Linked DNA regions of Anolis sagrei. The protein of the gene in region 1 purifies or fractionates together with the protein of each later gene. This does not show direct contact. Links are inferred from orthologs where the notes say so. Each region holds a gene or a part of one and is shown on either strand. Other genes may lie near its edges.

Region 1 (7,798 bases):
AGCCTCCGACACTCTGGGGCAGAAAGTTCCACTGCTGAACAGCCCTCACAATCAGGAAGTTCTTCCTAATGTTCAGGTGAACTGTCATTTCCTGTAGTTTGAAGCCATTGTTCCACGTCCTAGTCTCCAGGGCAGCAGAAAACAAGCTTGCTCCCTCCTCTCTATGACTTTCCTTCACATATTTATATGTGGCCCTCATCATGTCTCCTCTCAGCCTCCTCTTCTGCAGGCTAAACATGCCCAGCTCCTCATAGGGTTTGTTCTCCAGACCCTTGATCATTTTAGTCACCCTCTTCTGGACACATTCCAGTTTGTCAACATCTCACTTCGATTGTGGTGCCCAGAACTGGACACTTGTCTGTGGTATGTCCACACATTCAAATCAAAGCTCACTTTCTTGAGAACTATCTGGTCTAATAAGTTGTTAGCTATCTTTCCTCTTCCCTTAAGTAAATGGTAGTGAATTGGTTCATGTACGTATTTCCATGGAGTTGAAGTTTCTGGTGTGATGTGTTGGTTCGATTGAGACTGGTTCGATGAGTTTCTGACTCATGAGTCTCACAGCCTCCACTTTTTTTACAATTTATATTTTGGTGGCAAAACTTATACATCTATGCTTTTTCTGTTAGGGAAAACTACCCCAAAATAAGCAGAGCATCCAAAATACAAACAGGATACCAATAGTTGAGCATGAGCTCATAGTAGGCAGAGCATGAAGTGCCATTGGTTGTGGCTGTAAAGAATTCAGAGCTTAGGCAGGCAAAGATCTTAAAAATCTAATCTTAAAAATCACAAAAGGTTTATTTACAATAATAATAATAACTGCAATGCTTAATAATAAAGGACTGGGTCTGAGCGATGCTATACTCGTCTCTTCTAAAGTTTCAAAGAGAGGTAAAAAACAACAATCACTACATCTCTCCTGACATGCAGAGAGAGATATCTCAAAACACACAACATACACAGATGAAAAAGTAGAAATCCGTTTTTTAAGTCTTGCAGTAGAAAAGTATCCATTCTACACAACCAATCAGAATTAGAGCAGAAACAGAGAGAAGAGAAGAAATTAGATAAATTCCAACTGTCATACAGGAGACATGGGGAAAGGGAATCTTTCAGCCTATTCTAAGCTAAATTCTTGTTGAGGTCTGGAAACTTGAATTCCAACATGCCAAAATTACTAGACAAAACTCCTTCCCCATTTTCTTTCTATGTTGCTTTTCATACTTGCTCAGGAGGTATTTCTCAAGGCAGCCTGTTGCATGGAAGCACACAAGGCTAAATTAGAAGCATCTAAAGGAGGTTCCCCTTCTTTCCTAGTTCCAAATGTATTGTGGTGTTAATTGGAGACAAGCTGCATTCTCCAGCCCTTCTTCGCCATCATCCAAATAATAATGATGCAAACAAACCATTTAAATAAACTTCCACCTAAATAATAGACAGGAAAAGTGGGGAGGCTGGGTTGGGCTTCTGTAAAAAGACTGTTAAAAAGAGCTGCTGTGACAGAGGCTTTGTTAATGGAGGCATGTCAGTGTTGTTTCTCTCCAGGGCAAGTTTTTCTGCCCCTTCTAAACACTCTAATGGGGTGGAAAGTTGTTTTAGGTCCTACGCCCTTGCTTTGAGTCATGGGAGCTTGCAGTTTGGTCTCTTGGGGCTTGGAAACGTTCTCGTAGGCATCCTCCCTCACTAGCTGGGGACTTCTGGTGTGCGTCTACACCACATGTCTCAGACTCAAGACTCACAGGGCAAATTCGGCCTACCATGTCATTTTATGGAGTCCTCTGGATGCTGGACTACAACTCCTGTATTCCTCATCATTAGACGTCATGACTGGAACCAATGGGAGTTGTGATGCAGCAACATCTGGAAGGCTGCAGTTTGTTCTATTTAGTCAGGATAGTGATGTTTGAATTTAGATACAAGGCTTGTGGATAGGATGTCTGACTTTAAAATGTCATTCAATTTTTCCCCAACCTCAGAGCCACAAGTGTTGCTGAGTTGCAATTTCCATTACCCCCAATCTGCATGGGGGATAATCAAAAGTGATTGCAGTTGTCAATCGATAACATCTGGAGATCCAAACTGGGTAAAACCTGACCACTATATAAGTGAGGAGCCATGGTGGTGCAATGGGTTAAATCAGTGGTTCTCAACCTGTGGGTCTCCAGGTGTTTTGGCCTACAACTCCAAGAAATCCCAGCCCGTTTACCAGCTGTTAGGATTTCTGGGAGTTGAAGGCCAAAACACGCGGGGACTCACAGGTTGAGAACCACTGGGTTAAACCCCTGTGCCAGCAGGACTGCTGAAGGTCATCAGTTTGAATCTGTGGGACGGCGCTTCCTTCTGTCAGTTCCAGTTTCTATGCAGGGACATGAGAGAAGCCTCTCACAGGATGGTAACACATTCTTGCAGATGCCCAATTCTCTCACACCAGAAGTGACTTGCAGTTTCTCAAGTCGCTCCTGACATGATAAAAAAAAAACCCCAACTATATAAGAGCACTGGCCACTATGTAAAAAATAGTTTATTTTATTTTATTGTATTTTATTTACCCTATTTATATCTCACTTTTCTCTACCCCAAGGGGCACTCAAGGTGGCTTACATATGCCAATTATTCAATGCCTTAAACACATATAACATTAAGCTTGAAATCCATTGAATTAAAATTAATATATATAAAAATTTAAAAATTACATTCAGTATTAAAATCATGCCATCCAAAAATCGTAGTCTGAAGCTGTTCTATAGTCATAGCACATATTCCAGTTATATTATTGCACTGCTTCTATGAAGTTCTGGTCCCAGAGCCAGGTTTTCACTCTCCTTCTGAAGGCTAGGGGGGAGGGGGCTGATCTAATGGCACTGGGGAGGGAGTTCCACAACCGAGAGGCCACCACTGAGAAGACCCTCTCTCTTGTCCCCACCAGTCACACTTGAGAAGAAGGTGGGACCAAGAGCAGGGCCTCCCCATAAGATCTTAATCTCTGAGATGGTTCATAGGGGGAGATACATTTGTATAGGTAAATTGGGCCAGAACCATTTAGGGCAGTGGTTCCCATTTTTTTTGACCAGGGACCACTTGACCAGGGACTACTTTGACCAGGGAAAACTCTCTAGCATTAGTACCAAAAGGGTTACAAATCAGTTTTTGGTCAACTTTAGATTTAGTTTGGTTATTTGGGGTGTTGATTCAGAAAATTGCATTGGATAGATGACAACAGCTCTAGTTTCTGATACAGAACATATGCCATCCAGTAGTTGCCATCTGATGCCCACAGAAAACCATATTTAATAAGCCTCAGCATTATAAGACGGTTTTGCAAGACCAGTTGTTCTCATTGCAATGGTGGAGGCCGCAGATCATATTTTAGTTCTTGCGCACCACCAGTGGTCTACAGACCACAGGTTGGGAACCATTAGTTTAGGGCTTTAAATTGTGTTTGGCAGCCAGTGGAGCTGACTTAATAGGGGAGTTGTCCCTCTATATCCATGGATTCTCCATGGAATCAAGGCAATTTGTAGACAAACATAAGGCTGATGCGGCTCTCAGTGCAAATGAGTGTAGCATCCCTAGTCCTCACTGTAGGATAAGTGCAGTTGAAGTGCCAGGGAGTTCTGGGCATTTTTGCTTTACAGGGCCTGTAGCCTTCCTCAGCAAGTGTAGGTGCCTCACCACACCATGGATCCCAGGATTCCACAGCAAGGAGCCATGGGGCTCCAAGGGGTGTTATACTGCATCCATTCTAGAGAAGAGATGCACTTCTGGGGTCTTCTGGGACTCCAGGAGGGTGCAAATGGGGCGAGGGTCTGGGGAGGCCCAGTGGAGGACAGAGAGGGCCACGCTTCCCCGGGGCTTCTTCCTCCTCCTGCCCAGGTCTGTGATGCGAGGGCAGCCTCTCTGGCAGGAGCCTCCATTGTGCAAGACTGAAGACTGACAGGTCGGAGGACCGAACCTGGGGAGAGCACGGATGAGCTCCCTCTGTCAGCTCCAGCTCTCCATGCGGGGACATGAGAGAAGCCCCCCCAAAAGATGGTAAAACATCAAAAAATCCGGGCGTCCCCTGGGCAATGTCCTTGCAGACTGCCAATTCTCTCACACCAGAAGTGACTTTCAGTTTCTTACCCATGTGGGGACATATGAGAAGCCTCCCACAAGGATGGTAAAACATCATGGTGTCCCCTGGGCAACGTCCCTGCAGATGGCCATTTCTCTTACACCAGAAGTGACTTGCAATTTCTCAACCATGTGGGGACATGTAAGAAGCCTCTCACAAGGATAGTAAAACATCAAAATATCTGGGCATCCCCTGGGCAACATCCTTGCGGATGGCCAGTTCTCTCACCTCAGAAGTGACTTACAGTTTCCCAACCATGCGGTGACATAAGAGAAGCCTCCCACAAGGGTGGTAAAACATCAAAACATCTGGGCATCCCCTGAGCAACGTCCCTGCAGACGGCCAATTCTCTCATACCAGAAGTGACTTGCAGTTTCTCAACCATATGGGGACATGAGAGACGCCTCTACAAGGATAGTAAAACATCAAAACATCTGGGCATCCCCTGGGCAACGTGCTTGCAGACGGCCAATTCTCTTGCAGTTTCTCAAGTCGCTCCTGACACAAAAGTTGCTCCTGACACGGAAAAAAAAGCCTCTCTGGCAGGGGCTCCAGGGGCGGGGAGGAGGAGGAGGAGGAGGAGGAGGAGGAGGAGGAGGAGGAGGAGGAGGAGGAGGAGGAGGAGGAGGAGGAGGAGGAGGAGGCGGGGAAGAGGAGCAAGACAGAGCAGGCAATGGGTTTGAGCTCCGGAGATCATCTGACTTGAAAGCCCCAAAGTGCGGAAGAGAGAGAGAAAGAAAGAAAGAAGGAGAAGCGAGGGGGAGAAAAGTTTGGTCCCCGCTCGGTCTCTCCCGCTCCCCGATCCCAAGAGGGGGGCGTGTTTCTGAAACTTTCTTCCCTCGCTCTCTCTTCCCTTCCCTTCCTCTCCCCTTCCCTTCCCTTGCCCTCCCTTCTCCGCCTGCCCGCCTCCCTCCGCCTCGCCGCGCGTGCGGCTGTCCTGCCCAGGAAGATGATGGATGGCAGGAGGGCAGCCGCGCGCCAGCAGAGCAGCAAGGAGAGCAGCAGCAGCAGGAGGAGGAGGAGGCAGCAGCAGCAGCAGCGGCGGCGCCCCAGACTTTGCTAAAGTCCCCTCGCTGCGTCCCGGACGGGCCTGGCAGCGCCTCCATCCCGGGAAGGAGGGCTTTGGAGAGAAAAAGAGGGGCGGGAAGCGAGCGGGAAGCAGCGGGCGATGGGGAGCCGCACGCCTGGCCCTGCCCGGGAGACGCTGCCCGCCTGAAAACTTCTCTTCGGGTAAAGTTGTGCCTCCCTTTCCCCCCTCCCCCGGTTCCTTCCTTCTTCTTCCCTCCTTTCTCAATCCCCTTCCTCCTTCTCTCCCAGCCTCTTCCCCGCTTTCAAGCCTCTTCTTCCTCACTTTCCGAGTCCCTTCTTCCTCCCTCTATCAACTCATCACACTAGAGAATGAATCCGCTTTAAATCCGGTTTCTGCCTCCTGCAAAATTCGGAGGTTTGTAGTTTAGGGAGGCTGTTAACGACTCCTTCTTAAACTACAAACCCCAGAATTCTGCAGGAGGCAGAAACTGGATTTTAAGTGGATTTTTCCTCTCTTGTGATGAGGCCCATCATCATCATCATACAGTTTGGAACCAGTTTGAGAGGAAGTTTCACTACATAGAATGAATCCACTTTAAAGGGGGTTTCTGCCTCCTGCAGAATTCTGGGGTTTGTTGTTCTGTGAGCCTGTGAAAAGCTCCTCCCTAAACTACAAGCCCCGGAATTCCGCAGAAGGCTGAAACCCCATTTGAAGTGGATTCATTCTCTGGTGTGAGGAGGTCTTAGGGCATGTGATCCCAGGACTCAGTGTGACGAGGTCTCCTCCCTTTCCCTTCCCGCGGGTGCTTCGGGCTTCCCCTTGAGGCGCCTGGGAAGCCACCCCCTTTCTTTAAATAGCGGCGGCGGGGGGGGGGGGGGCTTTTTCCCGCCTGCCTCGTTTCCCCCTTCGCGGGTGTCTTAAGGAGAAAAGTTGGAGAGCTGCGTCCCGCGTCAAGACCAAGAGCCCTCTTGCCTCTCTCTCTTGGGGAAAGTTGGGGAGAACTTTTCCAACTCGGGGAGCAGGTTGCTACTCGGGGTCCGGTTGGGCTTTGGGTCGGGACGAGCCACGCGGCTCCCCCGTTCCTCTGTGCTTGGCAAACTCCGCCTTGGAGCGGGTGCCTCCTCCTCCTCCTCCTCCTCCTCCTTCCCTTTGGTGGTGGTTGTGGTCCATTGGGCCTCGAGCGGCTCCCTTGCCTCTCTTTGCTTGTTTCCTCCAGAATCGGAGGCGAGGAGAAGGAGGAGGAATCCAGCCTGATTCCCCCCCCCCCCCTTCCCGGCTGAAACCAGTGGGACGCCTTTCGGATCGCGCCTGTGGCGACCGGGTCTGCTGCTGAGTCGGACCAGTGTGTTGAGGCAACGCAGAAGAGTCTCCTTCCTTCGGAGTGAGGGGCTTCAGACCCTCCTGGAGGGAAGTGGCCTGGAAGTTTGGTGTTTGTTTGGGAGGCTGATTCATCTCGTCGGCTTGGGCGGCGTTTTCGCCTCTCCAAAATCTTCCCTACCCCCCCCCCCCCCTTTTTTTTCTCCTTGCGATCTTTCGTCAAGTCTGTTTGCGAAGGAATTTCAAAAATCCGCCGCTGCAACTTGATGCCGGTGTGATGGGGAGAGACACGGAGGGAGCCGGGCGCCAGGCCTATTAAGGGTCGGGAGGGCCAGGGGCTTCCTTCCACTCCTCTTCCCAAGCCAAAGGTTTGGAAACATTTGCAACTCGAAAGGGGGGGGGGGTTTACCAGATCTCCCCCTCCACCATACCTCTTGCCTCCAAACGCTCTCCCCATCCTTGGTTGAACCTCAGTCTCCCTGCAAAAGGGTTGGTTTGTTTTCACCCTGCTCTGTTCTACAGATGTTGATGTTGCTGTTATCCATGCCTGTTGTGCTCTGCAGAGTTCCTCAAAGTTTGAAACTGAAGTTGCAAAGCGCCCCCTTCTTCCTAGCAAGTCTTTGCCATGCCCCCAAAGATTAAATAAAAATACAAGGAAAATACAGAAGTATATGTTTAATTCAGTAGGGGTTTAGGTATGTATTCAAGCCCCCAGTGGCACAGTGGGTTAAACTGCTGAGCTGCTCAACTTGCTGAATGAAAAGTTGGCAGTTTGGATCTGTGGAGCAGGGTGAGCTCCTGCTGTTAGGCCCAGCTTCTGCCAACTGAGCAGTTCAAAAACATGCAAATATGAGTAGATCAGTAGGTACCGCTCAGTAACAACGCTCCATGCAATCATGCTGGCCACATGACCTAGGAGGCGTCTATGGACAATGCCAGCTCATCAGCTTAGAAATGGAGATGAGTTATGCAACCCAGAGTCAGACTCAAATACACTTGATGTCAAGGGGAAATGTTTACCTTTACGATATGTTTCATTCAGTAGGGTGTTAAGGACCTGCAGGGATCTTGTTCCTCATACTCTGTGACAATGTTTCTAATGTGAGGGAATTGGCAATTAATTTTTTCCCAAAGTGCAAGCAACCAGCATTCATTTTTTCTAGCAACACACCCCTTCAGAGCTATGTATGCAGGTGCACTACAGAGGTAAAGGTCTCACTCAGTAAGGAATCTGATTGTGCTTCTGATGTGAGTGGACTGGTAATTATTTTCCCCCAAAGTGCTAGGGACCAGCATGAAATCTGTGCCCATTGGTTTTCTGGAAACTTTCTTTC
Region 2 (7,336 bases), on another chromosome or scaffold:
GAGCGGAGCGCAGGGAGCATACAACTCCTCTGTTGCACCAGCTCCACTGGCTGCCGATTTGCTACCGGGCTCAATTCAAAGTGCTGGCGTTGGCCTATAAAGCCCTAAACGGTTCGGGCCCAAGTTACCTATCCGAACGTATCTCTGCCTACAAACCCACCAGGACTCTAAGATCTTCTGGGGAGGCCCTGCTCTCGATCCCGCCTGCATCACAAGCACGGCTGGCGGGGACGAGGGACAGGGCCTTCTCTGTGGTGGCCCCTCGGCTGTGGAACGCTCTTCCCATGGACATTAGATCAGCTCCTACATTAATGGTGTTTCGAAGAAAACTAAAAACCTGGCTGTTTGAACAGGCATTCGGATAAACAGTGCAATGAATACGATGAATATAGGAACGGAATTATGGACGACGAATTGGATCATGATTCTAGCTACGAGATGTTAATGTGTTGTTATTGATGTGTCATCACTTTGTATACTATGCTGTTAATGGTTTTTAAATTGTATGTTGTTATGATTGTCTTTTGGCTCTTGTTGTGAACCGCGTTGAGTCGCCTACGGGCTGAGCAACTGCAGCATACAAGCAAAGTAAATAAATAAATAAATGTTTTTTTTTTCGTGTCAGGAGCAACCTGAGAAATTGCAAGTCGCTTCTGGTGTGAGAGAATTGGCCGTCTGCAAGGACGTTGCCCAGGGGACACCCGGATGATTTTGATGTTTTATCATCCTTGTGGGAGGCTTTTCTCATGTCCCCACATGAGGAGCTGACGCTGATATAGGGAGCTCATCCGCCTCTCCCCGGATTCGAACCTGCGACCTGTTGGTCTTTAGTCCTGGCAGCATTGCAAAGAAGTTATACAAAGACATTCCAGCCAATGCATGTTGGGCTTGACCGCTGATGGTTTATAACTTTAACTTTGTCTTTTCATTTGGAAAATAAAGTAATCTCTATGACCTTAACATTGTATTACACAACAGATGAAACATGTCTTTTCTAAAATATCTTCTGTCTTAGACTCTCATAAGCCATTGCAATGTGAAACAACTTGAAATCGCATTATTTGATCAGCTTAGACTTATATATAATGCAATGCCATGCAATGCAGCTTGAAATTGCATTATGTGTTCAGTGTGGATTCATATATAATGCAGTGCCATGGAATACAACTTGAAATGGCATTATATGGTCAGTGTAGATTCATATATAATGCAGTGCCATACAATGCAGCTTGAAATGGAATTATATAGTCAGCATAGACTCATATATAATGCAGTGCCATGCAATGCAGCTTGAAACAGAATTATATAGTCAGCGTAAACTCATATATAATGCAGTACCATATAATGCAGCTCGACAAGGCAGAGTGTGGACTCATATCTAAGCCAGTGCCATGTAATACAACTTGAAACAGCATTATATGGTCAGCATAGACTCATATATAATGCAATTCCATGCAATGTAGCTTGAAGCAGAATTATATGGTCAGTGTAGTCACATATAATGCAGAACGGCATTATATGAGTCTACCCTGATTGTATAATGCTGTTTCAAGTTGTATTATATGGCACTGGTCAATGTAGACTCATAATGCAGTGCCATGTAATACAACTTGAAATAACAGTATATGGTTGGTGTAGACTCATAATACAGTTTTGCAATATATGAGTCTACACTGAACATGTAATACTGATCAAGCTGCATTACATGGCAATGAAGATGGAGCCCTGAATGAATTTAATTGTTACAGTCACAGACCAAAAGTGTGAAACTTTAAAATTTTAAAAACAGTTTTTTTATTGTTAACACTAAGAACAAAAATTTACAACATTAAAAGTAGGAAGTCTGTGGGTAAAAAAATTAATAAAATAAAACTTTTTCTGCTAAAATAATCTGCTTCCTTATTTTTATAACTGCCGCACAAAACTTAGCCACGCTATAATGAGTGGTGGATCTCTATCCTCTAGGAGATGTTTTAGATAATAGTCTTTTAGAAAACAAGTCTAGAAAATCTCCTTCTCGGCTACAACATTTCTGAGTTGAATTCTGCCTTGGACATGGATCAGTGGCAATTAAGACCCTTTCTATGCAGCCATATAATCCAGATTATCAAAGCACATAATCCAGATTATCTGCTTTGAACTGGATTATATGTGTCTACACTGCCATGTAATGCAGTTCAAGGCAGATAACCTGGATTTTATATGGCAATGTAGAAGGGGCACTACTAGACTTAATGTTGGACACTACTAGAATTAATGTCAGGACAAACCTTTACCTTTACCTTTTATTTACTTATTTATTTCACATATTTGTATCCCGTCCTTCTCACCCCTGGAGGGGGACTCATGTCGGCTTCACAACCGGCATTTATTCAATGCCAACAACAGTAATAAGTGATAAAAGCAATTAAAACAGTTTGTTAATGCTTTAAATTTACTAAAAATTGTTTAAATCACACAGGTTGAAATCATAGTCCAGTTCAGTCCATTGTCATTCACACAAATTGGGACTCATTCTACATTGCTGCCTCTACGTGAATGAATTCCTATGCACACTGCACATATCTTATTTGTAGTACAAAAAAAATAATTAAAATGAAAAACAATTTTAATATAAACTTATTAGTATTTCAATGGGAAGTGTGGACCTGCTTTTGGTTGGTAAGATTGTTGTTGTTGTTGTTGTTGTCTGCTTTCAAGTCGTTTCAGACTTAGGTTGACCCTGAGCGAGGGCCAGGTAAATGACCTTGAAGGGCCGTATTCGGCCGTCGAGCCTTAGTTTGAGGACCCCTGATCTAGACACTATATTCCTATGGAGACATGCCAAAATCTCATTGGCTTTTTTTGCCCTCACATCACATTGTTGGCTCATAGAATCATACAGTTGGGAGAGACCTCATGGGCCACCCAGTCCAACCCCCTGACAAGCAGGTATATTGTATTCAAAGCACCCTTGACAGATGGCCATCCAGCCTCTGTTTAAAAGCTTCCAAAGAAGGAGCCTCCACCACAATCCGGGGCAGAGAGTTCCACTGCTGAACGGCTCTCACAGTCAGGAAGTGACTGTGTTCCTAATGTTCAGGTGGAATCTCCTTTCTTGTAGTTTGAAGCCAAGTCTCCAGGGCAGCAGAAAACAAGCCTGCTCCCTCCTCCCTATGGCTTTCCCTCACATATTTGCTGTCACATCAGCACTTTTAATCCTGTACCCATTACTCTGGCCCGGCCCAGTTTTATTGTGTCTTAGTGTCTTAGTTTATTGCTTGTTGTTTATATTGCTTTAATTGTTTTTAATTTGCCTTAGGTTTTGCATTGTTGCATTGTGTGTGGAGGCCTTGGCCTTGTAAGCCGCATCGAGTCCTTCAGGAGATGCTGTTGTTCATTCGTTCAGTCGTCTCCGACTCTTCGTGACCACATGGACCAGCCCACGACAGAGCTCCCTGTCGGCCGTCACCACCCCCAGCTCCTTCAAGGTCAGTCCAGTCACTTCAAGGATGCCATCCATCCATTTTGTCCTTGGTCGGCCCCTCTTCCTTTTTCCTTCCACTTTCCCCAGCATAATTGTCTTCTCTAGGCTTTGCTGTCTCCTCATGATGTGGCCAAAGTACTTCAACTTTGTCTCTAGAATCCTTCCCTCCAATGAGCAACCGGGCTTTATTTCCTGGAGGATTGACTGGCTGGATCTTCTCGCAGTCCAAGGCACTCTCAGCACTTTCCTCCAGCACCACAGCTCAAAAGCATCGATCTTCCTTCGCTCAGCCTTCCCTAAGGTCCAGCTCTCACATCCGTAGGTTACTACAGGGAAGACCATGGCTTTGACTAGGCGGAGATGCTAGCGGGGTACAAATAAAGTTTAATAATAATAATAATAATAACAATATTTATACATCACCATCATGTCTCCTCTCAGCCTTCTTTTCTTCAGGCTAAACATGCCCAGCTCTTCAAGCTGCTCCTCATAGGGCTTGTTCTCCAGACCCTTTCTCCTTTCTCATTTCATGTTTAACTTGTTGTCCACGAGGACTCCAAGATCTTTTTCACACGCACTGTTCTCGAGCCACGCGTCCCCCATTCTGTATCTTGACAGATATATCTTCATTTCTGCCAGGGATCTGCTGTATAATGGGAGTAATACAAAACAGAGATGGAGCCCTGCTTTCAGTGAACTAGTGAGGAAGGCATGCCTTGCAACGCCTCCCCACTGCCGCTAGGGGTCAGTCACGCAGAAAGGGTGTGTGGAAGAGGAAGGCGGGGCGCGTTGGATCCTCGGAGGACATTCGCCGCGTCGCGATTGGCGGAGCCGCTTGCCCATCAAAGGCGCGGGAGGCGGGAGGAAAGAAAGGGGGATGTCGATGGAGAGCGCGTCTCCTGCCTGGGGTCGCTGAGGGGAGTCTGGAGCCTCCGTTTGGGCCTCGGCTTCCGTGGAGGGGGCTGAGGCGGGCGTGCTTCCTCCCTCCTTCGCTCCTTCCCTCATGGAGACCTCAGCGACCGCCTCTGCCACCTCGGGCCCCACGCCGGGCCCTTTCCCCCCGCTCTTCCCGCCGGGGCTGCACGGGATCTATGGAGAGTGCCGGCGCCTCTACCCGGAGCAGCCCAACCCGCTGCAGGTCACCGCCATCCTCAAGTACTGGTGAGTCAGGCCTCGGGAAGGGGCAGACAAAGGCCCGAGGGGCCTCCACAGGCGCCCCCTTCGCTCAGGCTGCGTCTGGGCCAGCCTGGGCCCTCGAGGTGTTTTGGACTCCAACTCCCACCATTCCTAACAGCCTCAGGCCCTTTCCTTTCACCCCTCAGCCGCTTAAGCGGCAGAGGGGTGAAAGGAAGGGGCCTGAGGCTGTTAGGAATGGTGGGAGTTGGAGTCCAAAACACCTCAAGGGCCCAGGCTGGCCCATGCTTACTTTACACTATAGAATGAATGAGGTTTGACACCACTTGACCTGTATTTTCTGTTGGTCATGGAGGTTTCTGTATAGGAAGTTTGGCCCAATTCTATCCAGGTGAACTATAAATCCCAGCAACTACAACTCCCAAATGTCAAGCTCTATTCCCCCCAAACTCCACCAGTGTTCACATTTCACATATTGAGTATTCGTGCCAAGTTTGGTCCAGATCCATCATTGTTTGAGTCCAAAATACTCTCTGGATGGAGGTGATCTACAACTCCGAAACTCAAGTGTCCACCAAATCCTTCAAGTATTTTCTGTTGGTTGTGGGAGTTCTGTGTGCCAAGTTTGGTTCAATCCCTTCATTCAATTGGTTCAATTCCATCCTCTTCGATTGTAGTTTAACCACAAAGTGCTGGTTTTTACCTATAAAGCTCTTTATGGTTCTGGATCAGCTTAGTTGTCCGAACGCATCTGCCTCTACGTCCCACCTCGTAACTCATCCAGGGAGGCCCTGCTCTCCTTCCAGCCAACATCGCAAACATGGACAAGAGACAGGGCCTTCTCGGCTGTAGCCCCCTGCCTGTGGAACGCTCTTCCAAATGAAATAGGATCGACTCCATCCCTCCTGGCGTTCAGGAAAAAATTAAAATCTTGTTTTTGGGACTAGGCTTTCGGACAATAAACATAAAGCAGCACTTTGACTGGAAATGGATTGGTAAGGCCATATGTATGAGGATATGGTTTTATGGTTCTATCAGTGGGTTCATGGACTGAGTATTGTTTTAATGACTTATGATAATTTGGTTATAATTAACTGCTATTGTTTTAACTCTGTATGTATTTGTGGTTTTATACTGTGTTATTGATTGTGGCATCAAATTGCTGCCTTTGTTAGCTGCTCTGAGTCCCTCCCCCCCCCCCCCGGGGTTGAGAAAGGTGGGGTAAAAATGCAGTAAATAAATAAATAAAATAAACAAACTATAAGTCCTAGCAACAACAACTTGCAGGTGACATAATCAATGCCCCCCCTCCCCCAACCTCACCAGTATTCGAATTTGGGCATGCCAGGTATGAGTGCCAAATTTGATCCAGTGAATGTAAATACATCCTGCATATCGGATACTTACATTACGATTCATAACACTAGCAAAATTACAGTTATGAAAGTACCAACGAAAATAATTTCAGTCGTGGGATCACCGCAATATGAGGAACTGTATTAAGGGGTCGTGGTGTTAGGAAGGTTGAAAAACACTGGTGTAGATGCACACTTGGATTTCTAAAGTGACCAAAAGTTGTTTTCTATTTATGGGAGGGAGGATCTTTTGGAAAGCTCGAGGAAGTGCTTTGAATTCATGGCTGCTGGTGGTGTTTGATTGGGAGGGGGTTGTTTTGATGGAGACATTGAGGGGTTTGAGGATAGAGGGGTCAGCAAGAAAGCTTACATACTTATATTTCTTCTTACATATTGTTGTCCACATTGCTCCCCCCCCCCCCCGATGGTTAAACTGCTGAGCTGCTGAACTTGCAGACCGAAAGGTTGGTGGTTTGAATCCGAGGAGTGGGGTGAGCTCCCACTATTAGTCCCAGCTTCTGCCAACCTAACCGTTTGAAAACATGCAAATGTGAGTAGATCAATGGACTGCTTCTGCAGGAAGGTAACGACACTCCATGCAGTCATGTCAGCCACATGACCTAGGAGGTGTCAGTGGACAACGCCGGCTCTTCAACTGAGAAATTGAGATGAGCACCAATCCTCAGAGTTGGACACGACTGGACTTAATGTCAGGGGAAAACCTTTACCTTTGCATATTGTTGTCTGTATGTGGCATTTGAAGTGCTTCTGTGAGCTGCCCCAAGTCCCTTTGGGGAGATATTGGCAATTAGATTTTCTACTTTTATATTTTATACAGATTTTAGTTGCTGAATGTGTTTTTTAGGAGGCTTGATTGATAAGAAGTTTTAGTTAATGTTGTTTTATTTGTGTATTTTTAATCTGTTCATTTTAATTGGTTTGTCAGTTTGTTTTATCTTGTTACTGCACATTTATGTATTTATTTATTTACCATATTTATACCCTGCCCTTCTTAACCCAGAGGGGACTCAATGTGACTTACATATAGGCAACTATTAAGTGCCTTAGAGCAGCATACAATGAAAATAAAAATTTAAGATTGAAATTAATACACATTAAACAGGTAAAAACATTACATCCATTACGAAAACCACGCCATCCACAATTGTAATCTGGGACTATCCAGTAGTCTTTCTGTAAAGACTTTCTGTATATTTATGTCTTTATTTTGCATATTTCTATCCCATCCTTCTCACCCAGAAGGGGGGACTCAGGGTGGCTTGCAACAGGCAACCATTTCATGCCATCAAACAGATTCATAAATAACAATTGCAATTAAAACAGTAATTAAAATGTTAAATTATTAAAGCATTCATTGAAA

The links.
Region 2: the proteins of GLI2 (region 1) and SUFU purify together in Homo sapiens (affinity purification with mass spectrometry; 3 studies listed by BioGRID and IntAct, with this or other methods). This does not show direct contact. The link is inferred for Anolis sagrei from reciprocal best matches to the Homo sapiens genes GLI2 and SUFU.

The regions. Positions count from the first base shown.
Region 1 is NC_090021.1:222,854,537-222,862,334, reverse strand, and holds the start of GLI2 (zinc finger protein GLI2), read left to right. Parts: upstream 1-4,773; 5' UTR 4,774-5,347; intron 5,348-7,798. UniProt on the Homo sapiens protein: Functions as a transcription regulator in the hedgehog (Hh) pathway. Functions as a transcriptional activator. May also function as transcriptional repressor. Requires STK36 for full transcriptional activator activity.
Region 2 is NC_090023.1:215,058,267-215,065,602, reverse strand, and holds the start of SUFU (suppressor of fused homolog), read left to right. Parts: upstream 1-4,298; 5' UTR 4,299-4,469; coding exon 4,470-4,627; intron 4,628-7,336. UniProt on the Homo sapiens protein: Negative regulator in the hedgehog/smoothened signaling pathway. Down-regulates GLI1-mediated transactivation of target genes. Down-regulates GLI2-mediated transactivation of target genes. Part of a corepressor complex that acts on DNA-bound GLI1.